Linked DNA regions of Pelodiscus sinensis. The protein of the gene in region 1 purifies or fractionates together with the protein of each later gene. This does not show direct contact. Links are inferred from orthologs where the notes say so. Each region holds a gene or a part of one and is shown on either strand. Other genes may lie near its edges.

Region 1 (7,637 bases):
TGGAAGGTAATAAAGTGATAGGGAATAGCCAGCATGGGTTTGTGAAGAACAAGTCATGCCAAACTAATCTGATAGCTTTCTTTGATAGGATAACGAGCCTTGTGGATAAGGGAGAAGCGGTGGATGTCATATACCTAGACTTTAGTAAGGCATTTGATACGGTCTCGCATGATATTCTTATTGATAAACTAGGCAAATATAACTTAGATAGGGCCACGATAAGGTGGGTGCATGATTGGCTGGATAACCATAGTCAGAGAGTTGTTGTTAACGGTGCTAAATCCTGCTGGAAAGGGATAACAAGTGGAGTTCCACAAGGGTCTGTTTTGGGACCCGTACTGTTCAATATCTTCATCAATGATGTAGATATTGGGATAGAGTGTACGCTTATTAAGTTTGCAGATGACACCAAACTGGGTGGGGTTGCAACTTCTTTGGAGGATAGGGACATAATTCAAAATGACCGTAGCAAGTTAGAGAAATGGTCAGAGGTAAACAGGATGAGGTTTAATAAAGAGAAATGCAAAGTGCTCCACTTAGGAAGGAACAATCAGTTCCATACATACAAGATGGGAAGCGACTGTCTAGGAAGGAGCATGGCGGAAAGGGATCTAGGGGTCATAGTGGACCACAAGTTGAATATGAGTCAACAGTGTGATGCTGTTGCAAAAAAAGCAAATATGATTCTAGGTTGTATCAACAGGTGTGTTGTAAGCAAAACTCGTGAAGTCATTCTGCCGCTCTACTCTGCACTAGTTAGGCCTCAGCTGGAGTACTGTGTCCAGTTCTGGGCGCCACATTTCAAGAAAGATGTGGAGAAATTGGAAAGGGTACAGAGAAGAGCGACAAGAATGATTAAAGGCCTAGAGAACATGACCTATGAAGCCAGGTTTCATGAACTGGGCTTGTTTAGTTTGGAAAAAAGAAGATTAAGGGGGGACATGATAGCGGTTTTCAAATATCTAAAAGGGTGTCACAAGGCGGAAGGAGAAAATTTGTTCCTCTTGGTTTCTGAGGACAGGACAAGGAGTAATGGGCTTAAAGTGCAGCAGGGGAGGTTTAGATTGGACATTAGGAAAAAATTCCTAACTGTCAGGGTGGCCAAATATTGGAATAAATTGCCAAGGGAGGTGGTGGAATCTCCCTCTCTGGAGATATTTAAGAACAGGTTAGATAGACATCTGTCAGGGATGGTGTAGACGGAGCTTGGCCCTGCCTTGAGGGCGGGGGGCTGGACTCGATGACCTCTCGAGGTCCCTTCCAGTCCTATTATTCTATGATTCTATGATTTTCAAGCAATTTTATAAAACTTAATATTGTTAGGGAGAGTGGTTGGTTGGTTGGTTTTAGTACTCTTGCTATTCCTTTGATTTATTTCATTGATTTCCCTGAATTAGGAGTCTGTGTGTTATCAGGATCAAGAAACAGTGAGGTTGCATTGCATTACAGTAAAATTCAGGTATAGATGAGTACATAATGTAGAAAACACTTCCACATGCTGGGGTTGAACTGACTTTTTACAGTCAGTAGCTTTGTGACTGTCCACAAAAGTTCAGTCATCAGGACAAATATTTTATACTAGGATACAGTTCTATTCTGCCCCCACTCACCTTTCCAAAGAGAAATTATGGAATCTTAATTATGAATGGAATTTAAGAAGAAAAATCAAGACTATTTTATATGCAAATTAAATGCATGGCTAAATTAGTTTTGTACTGAGTGTACTTAACTCCAGTCAATGTTAAGGGAGATAAATGTATCAAGGAGAAATGAATTGTGAGAGAGAGTAGAGTAAGGAAAGTTTCCATTTGTCATTATTATCAGATTTCATATTTGCACTTTTTGGTAAAGACTTTATGGGACTTAACATTTGAAATTTCCATGCTTGTATCTGATGGTGATACAATGCAATATATGTTTAAAAGTAAGCAAATGCTATTGATAACATTAATTATTGTTGGGTTACTTTTCATATTTTCAATTTTGCAGTGTACTTGGATGCTTTTTTAATTGAAAAATAGAATACCAGCAGATGAGAGAGGGATAAAAATAAAGACCTAAATAATCCAAGACTGTTCAATATAAATATGAATAATCTGTTTTGTGGACAATCCCTCTTGTATGTATCTATAATATAGGCTCTTCACATGGTGCTGCTTGCTTGAACCTCTTCCCAGAGTTTAGTCATTACATTGAGGTTTCAGTGGAGCAGAGGGGTTTGCACTTTCTGTGCTTTGGTCATCCCAGTAAGAAATTGAAATGAAAGGAAATACAGCACAAATGTCATGTTTTCCCTCCATGATTGCTAGAGAGAGACCCATCCAGTTGTGATGTGGCTTTAAGACGAACTGCATGGCTCTGAAGAGAAGGATTATCAGCATGGCTATGAAAGTGCAATATTGGGAAGGTGTTCAGTCTCAAATAAACAGATCACTTTTCCTTTCCTCAAATTATGCACTTAAAACTATTGGATAGTTTTGAACTTAATCTCTCTCTGCCTCAGTTCCCCTCTGTAAAATGAGGATAATACTCATTCATCTCATGTGGATATTATGAAAATAAAAGTTGAATTGCACTGTGATACTACAATGACTGCCATAGAAAAGATCCCGAGGGAGCTAATTCTGTATTCAGAGCAGTGTTTGAATATTATGACGTGAACAAGGCATGGGGACACACATTGAACAATATAGATAACATAAAATATTAGCTGTTCATTAAGTTTCCTGTCCACTGAATTAGGAAGTACTTATGTAGAAAAAATACTATGTGATCATATAATTTGCTGTTCACAATGCCTTTGCAAAAAGTGTCTAAATTAAGGTTGTGCAAACAACCTTAATTTTGGCATTTCATAACTATAGCATGCTTGGCTTTGCAACTAGGGATGTAAGTGAATAGTTGAGTAGTCTAGGCGTATTGGCTAATCTAGTCTAGGGATGTTAAATTTAGTTTAATCAACTAGTCGATGGATTGTCCATCGACTAGTTAAGTGGGGAACAGCAGCAAGGTTAGCTCCTGGCTCGCAAGCTCCGCCTTTTAAATGGATTAAGAGCCTGTTGGCTGATTCCCGCCTCATGCCCAGTCCCTGCTTCCCTCCTGCCCCCAGCGGAGACGGTGCTGAGGAGAACTGGCTTTTAAGCCGGCTCCCCCCAGTACCAGCCCCTCCTCCCCCCTTGCTACCTCTGTTAGAAGTAGCAAGCAGGGGAATGACTAGTCAAGGGGCTAGTCAACTATCTGAGATAAGCAAAAACTTATTAGATAGTTGACTAGTAGCTTACATCCCTAATCTAGCCAACTTCTTGCGTTTCACCCCCCCCTCCCCTTGCCTCTGTGTCTGCATCCAAGTGTTGTCCGGCTCCTCTCCCCCAATGGAGCAGTGGCACAGCCAGGGTGGGACAGACCCAGCTGTTGCCAGGGGAGGCACAAAGGGACCACAGGGAGCTTTGGCTGCTGACAGAGATCGTCTGTGGATTTGTGAGATCTTCCCACCTGTCCCATGTGTGTCCTCTGGTCCTGGAGGAGGGTGGGAGCATCCTGGCTTATCATAATGCAGCTGCTCCTGCCTTCCCCAAGCGGTGCCAGGTAGGCTGGAGCCTCTGTGCCTGGTTCATGCGTAGGCTGTGCAGGCTGGTGGGCATAGATCTCTCCAGGGTGGGGACTAGTGAAGTGAGGTGGGGACAGAGGAGAGTTTTAGGTGTCTTAACTTACTTCCTTCTGGGCTGCAGGCAGAACAAAAGGCCTAACTCATGACATTTGCATGATTACGTTTCAAACCAAGTTTACATAGGTGTTAATGGCTCAAGATAAGAAAGGAAAGGATTCTTTTAACAGAATTTTTTTTTTAGTGTTGTAGGTATCTGCAAACTCTGATCTGTTACAATGACGTGTGTACAGATGCAGTGTAAAATAATACATGGCCTCTTAAAATTAATTACCACAATGAATATTCAAATAAAATGTTACTGGTCTGCCAAAAGTTTATGAATGGGTTTGCCAGTCTCTGGTATAAAAAAGGTTGGGAACCACTGTTCTATGGTATTTACAACCACTTTCAGTTGCGGTTAATAGAGATTGAAATCTCTGTGGAAGAAAAATAACATTTTATATGGATGGTTCATATTTTTTATAATGTTGTCAAGGTCATCAAGTCTTAAAGGAGAAAATTGCTTTATTTAAATACTGATTTTTTTTTCCCTTAAAACTTAAATCTTCAGTTCAACTACTGATTTTATCTGCTGATGGCTTACTAGGGTAGACTGGCTGTTAGTGTATTCTGATAGTACCCACAGCAAGCTGTGGTCTGTACTGAAGCTCATGGCATCATTACAGGTGGTAGTTACAATGGCAAAAAATCTAAATGAATGTAGTGTTGACAAAGCATAAGAATCATTAACTAGATCCCTGTTTCATTACATGGAAGGCTCATCTAATATCATGTGACTTAGGGTAAATGATTTTGTATTACACTATCAGTGCAAACACATGCTTAAGTATAGCCATGTAACTTCTTATCTCTCACGGTGGAAGGGGCTGTGACAGTTCAAGCTAATCTTATTGGTGAAGGAGTTTCTATGTGACTTCTAAAGAAACATTTCCTTTTTTAACCATACCAATACGTGAGAAAGTAGACGCGAACATTGCTGTCTCTCAGGAAGGAAAGACTGCAGAGGAGCAAGTCGTCTTATGACTAAAATACTTGTGGTAAAAGTTTACTTCCATCTTAAAAGTTGACACGGCATAAAGTTATGATTTGTAGCTCGGTATTTACCTGTACTGTAAAAAGTTAGCTTCTCTAGGGAGATGAATTTCTCAGAAAATGATAATATTGAAGATGACCAAAACAAGAATGCAGTCACTGCCCATGAAGGGATCCCTTCTGGTATCTTGGTGAGTTCTGTCCCTTATGTCCTTATTTACTATAAATATAGTGACTGCATTCTGTTGGCATAGTAAAGTAGTTAATAGTTGCAGTAGATCAGTCTGAGAAATACTTAGTTTCAAGCTCTTCTTGAGTTGTAATATTTTAGAAAGCCTTAATTTGAACTTCAGCAGACTTGTTTTGGTTTTACCTTCTCTTGCATAACTACAGGCAGTTCAAGGTGCAACACTAAACTGCAACTTTTAATTTTTTATGCTTACTTAAGAGCAAAATATATATTTGATTTTTGCTTAAGTATATCTTGCCATACTTAGTTCCTCTGTTAGATATTACCTCTGTAGACTTGGTTAACATTCACTATAAAGCATATGAAATGACATAGTTAGAAATGTATTTTTATACACAAACTGAAAATGAAAATAAATTAGAATTTTTATTCAAGTGACATTTGGAAGCTGCCAGTCCCCTGCGTTATTCATTGTCATTAATTAACTAAATACAAGTAAATTAGTATGTTTGAGTTAGAATACTATAGTTGCAATTATAGTTTTGCTGATCTTGTAATTAAATATGTACCAAACTCTAAATTAAAATGACTGAGACACTAATAAAAATTATAAATGAGGAATAAATCTAGTAAAATTTTGAGTAAATGACTGTTTTATCCAGTTAAACATAACTTCTACCTGATTGATAAATATCTATTTTAACCTGGGCAAAATCAGGTAACTTGAAGAAAATCAAGACTACGCTCTTGATTTTTCTTTTGCATTCTTCCCTTTTTGTAGTAGTAATGAAAAGGAGCAATTAGATCAAAAGGCATCTTGTACTAGATACAATGTGAAATCAATAGAAAAATTAATTCTGTTGATTTAAGACCTCTTGACGTTTTTTTCATAATACTAAGTAATGATTCATTCCCTTTGTAGCAGAAACATACTGTCAGTAGCTTTCATGTGTGTAGTGTGAACTGTCCAATCTGCTTGGAAAAAGCTGTACTTTACAACATATTTTAGTGTGTAATATTTTGGATTTCCCAGGCAATACAATATGTTAACCAAAGGCTGGATTAGTAAACCAGATGAAGTACTCTAGGGCTGTGTCTAGACTGCATCCCTTTTTCGTGAAAGGGATGCAAATTAGACATATCGCAATTGCAAATGAAGCAGGGATTTAAATCCCCCCCGCTTCATTAGCATAAAAATTACTGCCGCTTTTTTCCGGCTCGGCGCTTTGCCGGAAAAAAGCGCCAGTCTAGACGCGGATCTTTCGGAAAATAAAGCCTTTTCCGAAAGATCCCTTGTCCCTGAGGCTCTATTTTCTGAAAGATCCACGTCTAGACTGGTGCTTTTTTCCGGCAAAGCTCCGAGCCGGAAAAAAGCGGCAGCCATTTTTATGCTTATGAAGCAGGGGGGATTTAAATCCCCGCTTCATTTGCGGGAATTACGAAAAAGGGATGCAGTCTAGACACAGCATAGGACTGTGAGCTAGGTTTTAAAAATGAAGACTGTTTTTCCATTGTGGTATTGGAAATTCCCAGGAAATTCTTTCTCTTCATATAGGTGCTGTTCTAGCTGTGTCACATGCTTGCATACAGATGTTCTATTAAAAGTTCCTGAACTATGAACAACGCATATTAATGTAAATTGTATTACTTTTGCAGTACTCAAAAATACTAAGGGGCTGTGCCCAGTGTTCCCCCTAAGATGAGCTGCAGCACAGCTTCACAGGTGATTAATCAGTCTTGCCCAGTCATTCAGCTCTGTGCTGGTATCCCTGAGCCTCTGACTGGGTAGGACTGATTAATCACCTGTGAAGCTGTGCTGCCCCAGCAGTTTAGAGGGAACACTGACGGCAGGAAAAATGTATATGGGGGTGGGGGTGAGATGTTATATCAGTGGTCCCCAACCACTAGAGGTTGCCGGGCGCCAGGGGGCGTGGCCGTTTGCCCACCGGGCACCAGAGGACGGGGACACTTGCGCGCCTGGGGGCGAGGGCGGGGCCCCCCCAAGCGGCACGCGCCCAGAGCACAGCCAATCTGCGGCGCTCCCGGAGCCGGCGCTCACCGTGCATGTGCCACGTTCCCGGGGCCAGGCCATCCCCGAGCACTTGGCAGGCGCACACAAATGCCCCCACGGGCGCCATGGCGCCCGCGGGCACTGTGTTGGGGACCACTGTGTTATATGCTTTGTCAGTTTTGAGGCAGGGACCATGTCTGTCTTAGTTTAGAATTTCCTGAATTTCAGAGTTCACTGCTGAAGTGTGTTAAAAATTTAATGTGAACTGTCGGAGCTGAAAATGCCTAAGTTGTATTCTATAAGCCTCTGTTCCTCAAACTGTAAAATCTACTTCATTTAAGGGTGGGGAGAGTTTAATGTAGTCAGTATTGGATTAAGTGTCTTTTATGTTGCATAGCTCATACTTATTTTTAGTTTCATAAACATGTGGCTTCATTTTCAGAGTGAGTACTTTTTCCCCTTGTTCTGAATTTACTGTTAAACTTTATCTTAAAAGATAGAGCAGGCAGTTGCAATTTTTACATTCCCTGTATTGGCTTATTGCAAATGCAGAGTGTTTTCCCTCCTAGTTAGAGGCACAGGATGCTCCACCAATATTTGAATATTTTCAATTATGGGGGCTCTTACAAATGTAAGCTTATAACTTTGATGTTCGAAACACAAGACCTCTGGAGCATTAAAAGTTACAAGAAGTTCCCTTTTGCAGTGGAGCCCTCAGTATCGCTGGGCCTTTAAAA
Region 2 (7,952 bases), on another chromosome or scaffold:
CCTTCACTATTTTTTATTTATTTATTTATTTATTACAGGCTGCTTTTTATTTGTTTCCAGTTTCACAGAATCTTAAATATCCCTTTTGAGGAAGGAGGCAAAACACGATCAAGTTGTTAAATAATATTTGTTTATGAAGACTGTATAGATTCAGTATAACATTTAGCGCAGGTCAAAAGTATGTTTTAATGCTGCCTTAACTGGCATTAAAAATAAGTGTAAAATTGTAGACATATTTACAAACTACTGTTTTCTATGTAATAATCTGTAAAATATACTTTTTTCTTGATCTTATTATTTGTATTAATTTAATAGAAAGCAGCAGCCTTGGTTTTCAGCCCCACACATTCACTCTTTACAAGCACTGCCAGTTCATATATACATTAGCTAAAGTAACTGTACATTTTATTGGATTCCTATTGCATAATGCAAAGAAGCCTTGATTTTTATTTTTTTAAAGAGATCCAAAATCTTTTAAAGTTGTTTTATTAAAATCCCTTGGTTGCTTTTTTACCATTTCCCAGAAGTGATCACGGTTGCAATTAAATTATTCCAAACAATTATTTGCTTCTGTTAGTTAGCAACACAGCCAAAAAACAGAAAATACTAAAATGGAAGTCAGTCTGTCAAAAGACTGCCAAGAAAGTTAGATAGCATTGTTTCACCTGTCTGGCTTAAACACCCATTAAATTTTAGTACACAGCCACCATGAGTACCTACTCATTATGTGACACAAAACCACCACTAAAATTCATCTTGTGCATTGTATATGCAATTATATTTGTTCCTGTAGAACTCATTCCTGGACAACTAGAATTTTTTTCTTCAACTGATGATGTCTGACTGGTTGATTTCACCAGCTATTGTTTGCAACATTACAAGCTGTTAACATGAAAGCAATTCTGAGGTCATCAACATTAAAATATGGGGTTACTAAATCAATAAGGATCAAGAAAGGACTCTCTTAAGAATAGCTACAGCTACAGACCTCAGTGATCAGCAACGAGATAAGAAAATGCAGAAAGCATAACATGAATTTCTGCTTAGTAAAAGAACAAGATTAACAGTGCTCAGCCAATGATATGAAAATTTTATAAAAGAAGTTTACAGAACATCAAACCTGGTCGTTTGCTCAGACTATATTACTAAAAGAATGTGGAAATACCTAAAAATGCCAATTTGTGTCATCTTATGCCTATCCAGCACCTAGAACACTTCCAATGGTCAGTTAAAGCATGCATGAGATCTTGTTATCTACATTATTTTTATCACTGAAAGAAAATTAGCCATACTGCCTCAGGCCAATGGTACATCTACTCCAGCATCCTGTCTTTCAACAGTAGACAGTGCCAGATGCTTCACACAGAATGAAGCAAACAAGATAATTATTGAGAGTAGCACATAGAAGTCCCATTCATGGACAAGATCCCATTGTGCTAGGCACTGTACAAACACAAAACAAGGATAGCTGTGCATCATTACATTTCTATCTAATAGGTAACAATGGTTAGTGCAGGCAAAGTAGTACACAAAATATTAAACTTGATCACCAATTCTAATCTATCCCAGATATTAATTTAAAAAACATTTTTCCCCTAAAGTTATCTTAACATAATTCTACTAATATTTTGTGACTGCTCTTACTATTTCTATAAAGAATCCCTCTCACTGTCCCACAGCTAACTTTCCGGCAACCTAAGTTTAGTGCAATAAACATTTAGTAAATCAACTATAGAACCCAGGTTTCAAGTTACACAGAGTTTGCAAAATTATTTACTGCACTGAACAATTCACAAAAGGCCTATTGCTTCTGCTGAGAGATATAAATCAATTCAGTAAATGCTTACTCACTGAAATAAAACACACATTCTCAAATATAAGGAGTAAAAATAATTCCCAAATATTTTATATATATATATATATATATATATATATATATATATATACACACACACACACTAGCCACTTTAAAAACACAGTATTAATTACAAAATATATTTGATTAAAATAGACCTACATGCTAAGCTACAAATTCTTTGCCTTCTAAGACAAACCCCTTTACATATTTGGTAATCAATTTAACCAAGTGATTCAAAAATACTGGGTTGCAGAGGATGTTTATCATCATCTGTACTCAAAGTTAAAAAAACAAGATGCTGCATCTCAGGAAGAGCTCCATGAACAAAAAGGGGACAATGACTACATGCTGAATGTCATCTTGTTTAAAAAAAAAGTGTGTGTTTAATTGCCCACATAATCCACACTGATCAGTGATTATTTGTAAAAATAATTAATAACCTGCTTGTCCAATCTTCCCCACCGCACAAAAAAAATCTCAGGCCCTTTTCAATGGCTTTCCAAACGAGATCCTGGATGGGGGGGGGTCCATATTTTCGGGAGGGGCGTGGCTTGTTTGTTGAATGACAGGTCGAGGTTATTCTGAGGAACAATGAAGAGGAGGGGGCGGATTTGGGGGCCAGCGGGCAGGAGCTGGACTGGGGGAGGGAGCCCCGCGCGTGGGCCCGAAGGTCTCGCGGCAGGAAAGGGGGGGGGCTCCCTGGGCCCAGCCCCGCTCACCCAGCAGCCGGCGGGGGGGGGGGGGGGGGGATGATCCCGATCTCGCACCTTCCACGCAGCCCGGGCGGATTCAAATGTCACCTTCGCTCAGGGTGGGGGGCGGGGGGAGCCCCCCCGCAAGGCCCGAGCCCGCTCCCCCTCCCCCGGCCGCGGCGGGGCCTACTCCTGGCTCAGCGTGGGACCAGAGGCCCGCCCCGCCGCTCTCCTGCCCGGCCGGGGGGGGCACTCTGGGGTGGGGGAGGGGAGGTTCCGGCGGGGGGGGGGGGGCACTCACCATCAGCTCGATGGTCTTGTCCTCGATCACTGAGTCGGGCTCCATCGCGGCGGGCGGCTCCGCGCCCCTCCCCCCCGCGCCTGCCTCCCGCCCGGCCGCAGCGCGGAACCGAACCCCGCCTGGCTCCGACCTCGGGCCGCCGCCGCCAGCTGCTCCCGCCCCCCGCCCGCCGGACGCACGCAGGCTCGCGGTGCCCGCCGCGCGCCCGGAACAGGAAGCGCCGCCAACGCCCCCCCGCTTCCCACCTCGCCTCCGCAGGGCCTACGACTCCCGGCAGGCTCCGCGGCGCCTTCGCCGCACGGCGCGGAGAGGACTGCAAAGCCCAGCAGGCCAGGCGCCAGGAACGGCCCTCGGAGTGCATGCTGGGAGATGGAGTCTTGTGAAGGGAGAGCCCCAGGCTGAGTGGGGCTGGCGGGCCACTGAGGCCCAGGCCAATGGCACCTTCCCATCCCACCTGCCAGCAAGGCCCCCCGCCCAGGGCAGGCCTGGCGCACCCACACGCCCTCCCGCCCTGGCCTGGGGCGAGAGACCGGCAGGGTGCTGGGCCCCACGGCGCGTCCCACCGAGACCGGCCAGACTCTGAGCCCCACGGCACGTCCCACCGAGACCAGCAGGACGCTGAGCCCCACGGCGCGTCCCACAGAGACCGGCAGGACGCCGGGCCCCACGGCGCGTCCCACAGAGACCGGCCAGACTCTGAGCCCCACGGCGTGTCCCACCGAGACCCGCAGGACACCGGGCCCCACGGCGTGTCCCACCGAGACCAGCAGGACGCCGGGCCCCACGGCGCGTCCCACCGAGACCAGCAGGACACCGGGCCCCAGGGCACGTCCCACCGAGACCCGCAGGACGCCGAGCCCCACGGCGTGTCCCACCGAGACCCGCAGGACACCGGGCCCCACGGCGCGTCCCACCGAGACCGGCAGGACGCCGGGCCCCACGGCGTGTCCCACCGAGACCGGCAGGACGCCGGGCCCCACGGCGTGTCCCACCGAGACCAGCAGGACGCCGGGCCCCACGGCGTGTCCCACCGAGACCGGCAGGACGCCGGGCCCCACGGCGTGTCCCACCGAGACCGGCAGGACGCCGGGCCCCACGGCGTGTCCCACCGAGACCGGCAGGACGCCGGGCCCCACGGCGTGTCCCACCGAGACCCGCAGGACAGAAAAGATCATCAGCGCTCTCAGAGATATAAGGCCCTTATGATTGCACACGGTTTAATATTCTAGTATTTCATTCAGAACTGTGGTATATTTGTCTGAATCCCAGTTTCCCTGTTTTTGTATTTGGGGCAGCGATGAAGAATGAAGAGTTTACTGTGGTCTGAAAGCAGCTTTAGGCCAGCTAGGAAAGTCCCTAAAACAAAGGAGTGATTTTAGATGCCATTTCTTCCTACTTAAAGCCCCTTTGCATTGCCAGAGGGATGAAAAGCAGCCTTTGGACCCATTATCCCTAATTGTTGAATTTACTTACCATTTCCGTATCTTTTGACCACATAGAGTTTATTAATTGTAACATTCCTGGCATTGCTTTTTTGTGATTCTAGCACTATCTTCCTTGCAATCCTTTTAGGCAAGGATTTTGACTAATATTCATCTTAATGGCACAACTGAATGTTCTCTGTTCTATCCAAAATGACAGTTGAAACAATACAACAGAGCTTTACATCCAGATTCTTTAAAGACGTAAGCACATTCCAGTGCAGCTAGACAATATTAAGATATGAGATTAAAAAAATTGAGGTTTCTGCCAGCTCCATCTGTACATATGGTAAAGGGATGTTACTTGTCTTTTATATCCCTTTAAAAATCAATTTCACTTTTTGTTTATAGTGAGTTTCACTTTCAGTTTCTCAAGTGTACTATTTGCTTATTTAAAGTCAATTGTTTTTTTACCATGGAAAATAACTAAAGCCTATGGTGAGAGAGAAAGCAGTGACAGAATATATAAGGAAACAATACTACTACACAATAGTTGCTAGTAGTAGCCAAGCTTTGAAACCTTTATAAGTGACAATCAATGAAAACTATACAGAAATATTTATGAGTCAGGAATGAAGGTCTAAAAGCTATGAATAGTTAATGTGGTCTACCTTATAGATCCACATTGTGATGGGAAATGTCCTTTAAATCTATTATAGGTATGGAAAGCATGTCCTATTTTGTTTGTTTTTATATTCATCCCCTGAGTATGTATTCAAGTATTGCATAGTTTTACAGAGCGAGTAGTGATTGAGGATGGAGACAGTCTGCATAAAATGTGTTATTCTTGCAAGTAGTAGGTTTCCAGATGTCACATATGTGCTCACATTAGAAATCCACTCTCAAACTAAGGAAAAGTTTTTTCACCAGGGCTACGTCTACACTGGCACGTTCTCACGCAAAAACTCTTTTGCGGAAGAGTTCTTCTGCAAAAATTCTTCCAGAAGAGAGCGTCTACACTGGCATGCGCTTTTGCGGAAGAGATGTGCTTTTGCGCAAGAGCATCCATGCCAGTGTAGAAGCTCTCTTGCGCAAGAAAGCTCTGATGGCCATTTTAACCATAGGGCTTTCTTGTGCAAGAAATTCATGTTGCCTGTCTACACTGGCCTCTTCTGGAAGAGCTCTTGCGCAAAAGGGCTTCTTCCTGAGCGGGAGCATCAGAGTTCTGGTGCAAGAAGCCCTGATTTTACACATTAGAACGTCAGTTTACTTGCACAAGAACATGTGGCCAGTGTAGACAGGCAGCAAGTTTTTGCGCAAGAGCATCCGCTTTTGCGCGAGATCGCGCCAGTGTAGACACAGACCAGGAGCGCAAACTTGTTCCTATCATCATTTTCATACCTGTTGCAGTATTATCAATACTGGCATCCTACCAACAGTGAGTGAAATTCATCTGTGTGCAGAGGGCTAGCACAGGGCCTATGGATCGCCTAAACACCACTTAAGCCCTCAAAATCAGGTTTAATTTAGACTAAGATATATTGCTGGCCTCTGACTAGGGATGAATTTCCTCCACAACGCTGTAGTGGTAATGAATGAGATCTCTCATTTCTATGCTAAGTTTCGAACCTGGCCCTAGAAATCTATTGGCATAAGATTTTATAAAAGATTATTTTTACAAAATGTAATGGGGGTGTGTGTCACATTTAAGTTCTCAACATTCTTTTAACCTTTTTAACCTTTATTGCTTCGTTAGTAATAGTGCTTTTCCTTCAGTTCATGCCATAATTCAGAAGTCGAAACAAAAACAAAAAATTTCCTAAAACCTCTCTCATTTAAAAAAACAAAACAATTCTACTTTTGGTTGGCTAGTGGCAAGTAGGGGTGTGAAAGACTAGTCGATTAGTCGCTTCCTTCCCCCTTGCTGCCTCTATCAGAAAGAGGTAGCAAGGGGGGGAGGGAGAGGGTACTTCAAAGCAGCAGTGCCGCTCAGACCCTGGACTCCACGCGGTGCTGCCGCTTTGAAATGCCACATGCAGCCTGGGGCCAGCTGGGGTGTCCCCAGGCTGAATGCGGCATTTCAAAGCAGCAGTGTAGCATGGAGCCCAGGATCAGCTGGGGACTTCCCACTGACCCCGGGCTCTGTACAGTACTGCCACTTTGAAACGCCATGGGGAGCCCAGCATTAGTCTGCATGCAGTGTTTCAAAAAGGCAGCACTGCGTGAAGCCCAGGATCAGCTGGAGATCCCGGGCTCCATGCAGCGCTGCCACTTTGAAATGCTACGAGGAGCCTGATGCTGGGCTCCCCATGGTGTTTCAAAGCAGCAGCGCCGCACAGAGCTTCGGGTCAGTGGGGGAGTCCCCAGCTGACCCCAGGCTCTTCTGTTGCTATACTTCAAAGACGGAGGCGCCCTATCGACTAATCGAATAGTCGATGCAAAATGCATCGACTATTTGATTAGTCAATTAGTCAATATTTAACAACCCTAGTGGCAACATGTGACAGATGATTCCCCATAAACTGAACGACATACAGTGATAAAGCCCAAGTTTTACTATAGTAATATACAGGCTGGTATGTATGTATAGTACTGCCTTCTCCTGGATGGAGTTAGAAATGCTTGCTTCTGTCAAACTTTAGATTGCTGAAAGCTAATAGATTGCTTCTTCAAATTGTAGCAACCTATGCATTTGGAGGAGGAAATTCTGAATTATATCCTTTGTCATGAAATTCCCAGTCCCCATAGCTTTCAAAGTCCTAAATACATTAATTGATTACACTTTTGTCAGAATTGAGATGAACCATGAAATGCCTGGAAAAACTTAAAAAACAACAAACAGTCTTGCACCACCTTAAAGACTAACAAAACCTGTAGACGGTATCATGAGTTGCAAGACTATTTGCTGCTTTTTAAATTTTCCCAGTTACAGACTAACTCAGCTACCCCTCTGAAACTTATGAAAGGCCTGTTCTTTAAGACAAAAGGTCTGATTAGGGTAGCAGGAGTGAATTGTCTGCGTGTATGCCAGTGCCCTCTGCTGGATGAAATGAGGCATGCTTAAATGTGTGTCTTATTTTGCTAACATCCAGTGAAGAGTCTCCTTCAGCTCAAGTGACAGTAGTCTGGTCTTTTGGAGCAGCTATATCTAAATTCTGTTCCCATTCTGCTCTGGTTCTGAGTGGCCCTATGCAGCGTAGCGACAACTATAAAGATCTAAGTGGCCCCAGATTTATTAGCCAGTAATAATAGTGTGAGTACTGAGAGTGTGCTTCTAAAGGCAATGTATGGTCTTTGCCCTGAGAAACTTTCAGTCTAGGTTAGATGCAGACAGAAGGGATCAAACCGTTCCAAACAGAGGCAGGGCAGTTCCATGGCACATACAAAGAACTATTACATTGCTTGACCACAGGATGATGTCCCAGACAGCTCCATCAAAATAATTGCAAACTGCATTCTTAGCAGGGAGCTGCTTCTTTAGACATTTGCCAGACGTTTTAGTGTCTGCATCCCATTTCCAGCCAGCCAGCCAGCCTGCTAGCAAAGAGCCAGGATCATGCTCTACCAGCTCCTTCACAGTGATGCAGAGTGACAGACTCCGCTCAAGCATCTGCAGCCTGTGGCTGAGGAAAGGCTATTGGAGCCAACAGTATGTTAATGAGTCTGGAGACAAAGCGGTG

What was found. Proteins that work in one complex are often made in the same cells at the same time.
Region 2: the proteins of LPIN2 (region 1) and FBXW11 purify together in Homo sapiens (affinity purification with mass spectrometry; 4 studies listed by BioGRID and IntAct, with this or other methods). This does not show direct contact. The link is inferred for Pelodiscus sinensis from reciprocal best matches to the Homo sapiens genes LPIN2 and FBXW11.

Annotation. Positions count from the first base shown.
Region 1 is NC_134712.1:81,421,492-81,429,128, reverse strand, and holds the start of LPIN2 (phosphatidate phosphatase LPIN2), read left to right. Parts: upstream 1-4,632; 5' UTR 4,633-4,686; coding exon of another isoform or gene 4,687-4,704; 5' UTR 4,705-4,803; coding exon 4,804-4,890; intron 4,891-7,637. UniProt on the Homo sapiens protein: Acts as a magnesium-dependent phosphatidate phosphatase enzyme which catalyzes the conversion of phosphatidic acid to diacylglycerol during triglyceride, phosphatidylcholine and phosphatidylethanolamine biosynthesis in the endoplasmic reticulum membrane.
Region 2 is NC_134727.1:4,104,729-4,112,680, reverse strand, and holds the start of FBXW11 (F-box/WD repeat-containing protein 11), read right to left. Parts: upstream 3,008-7,952; 5' UTR 2,897-3,007; coding exon 2,852-2,896; intron 1-2,851.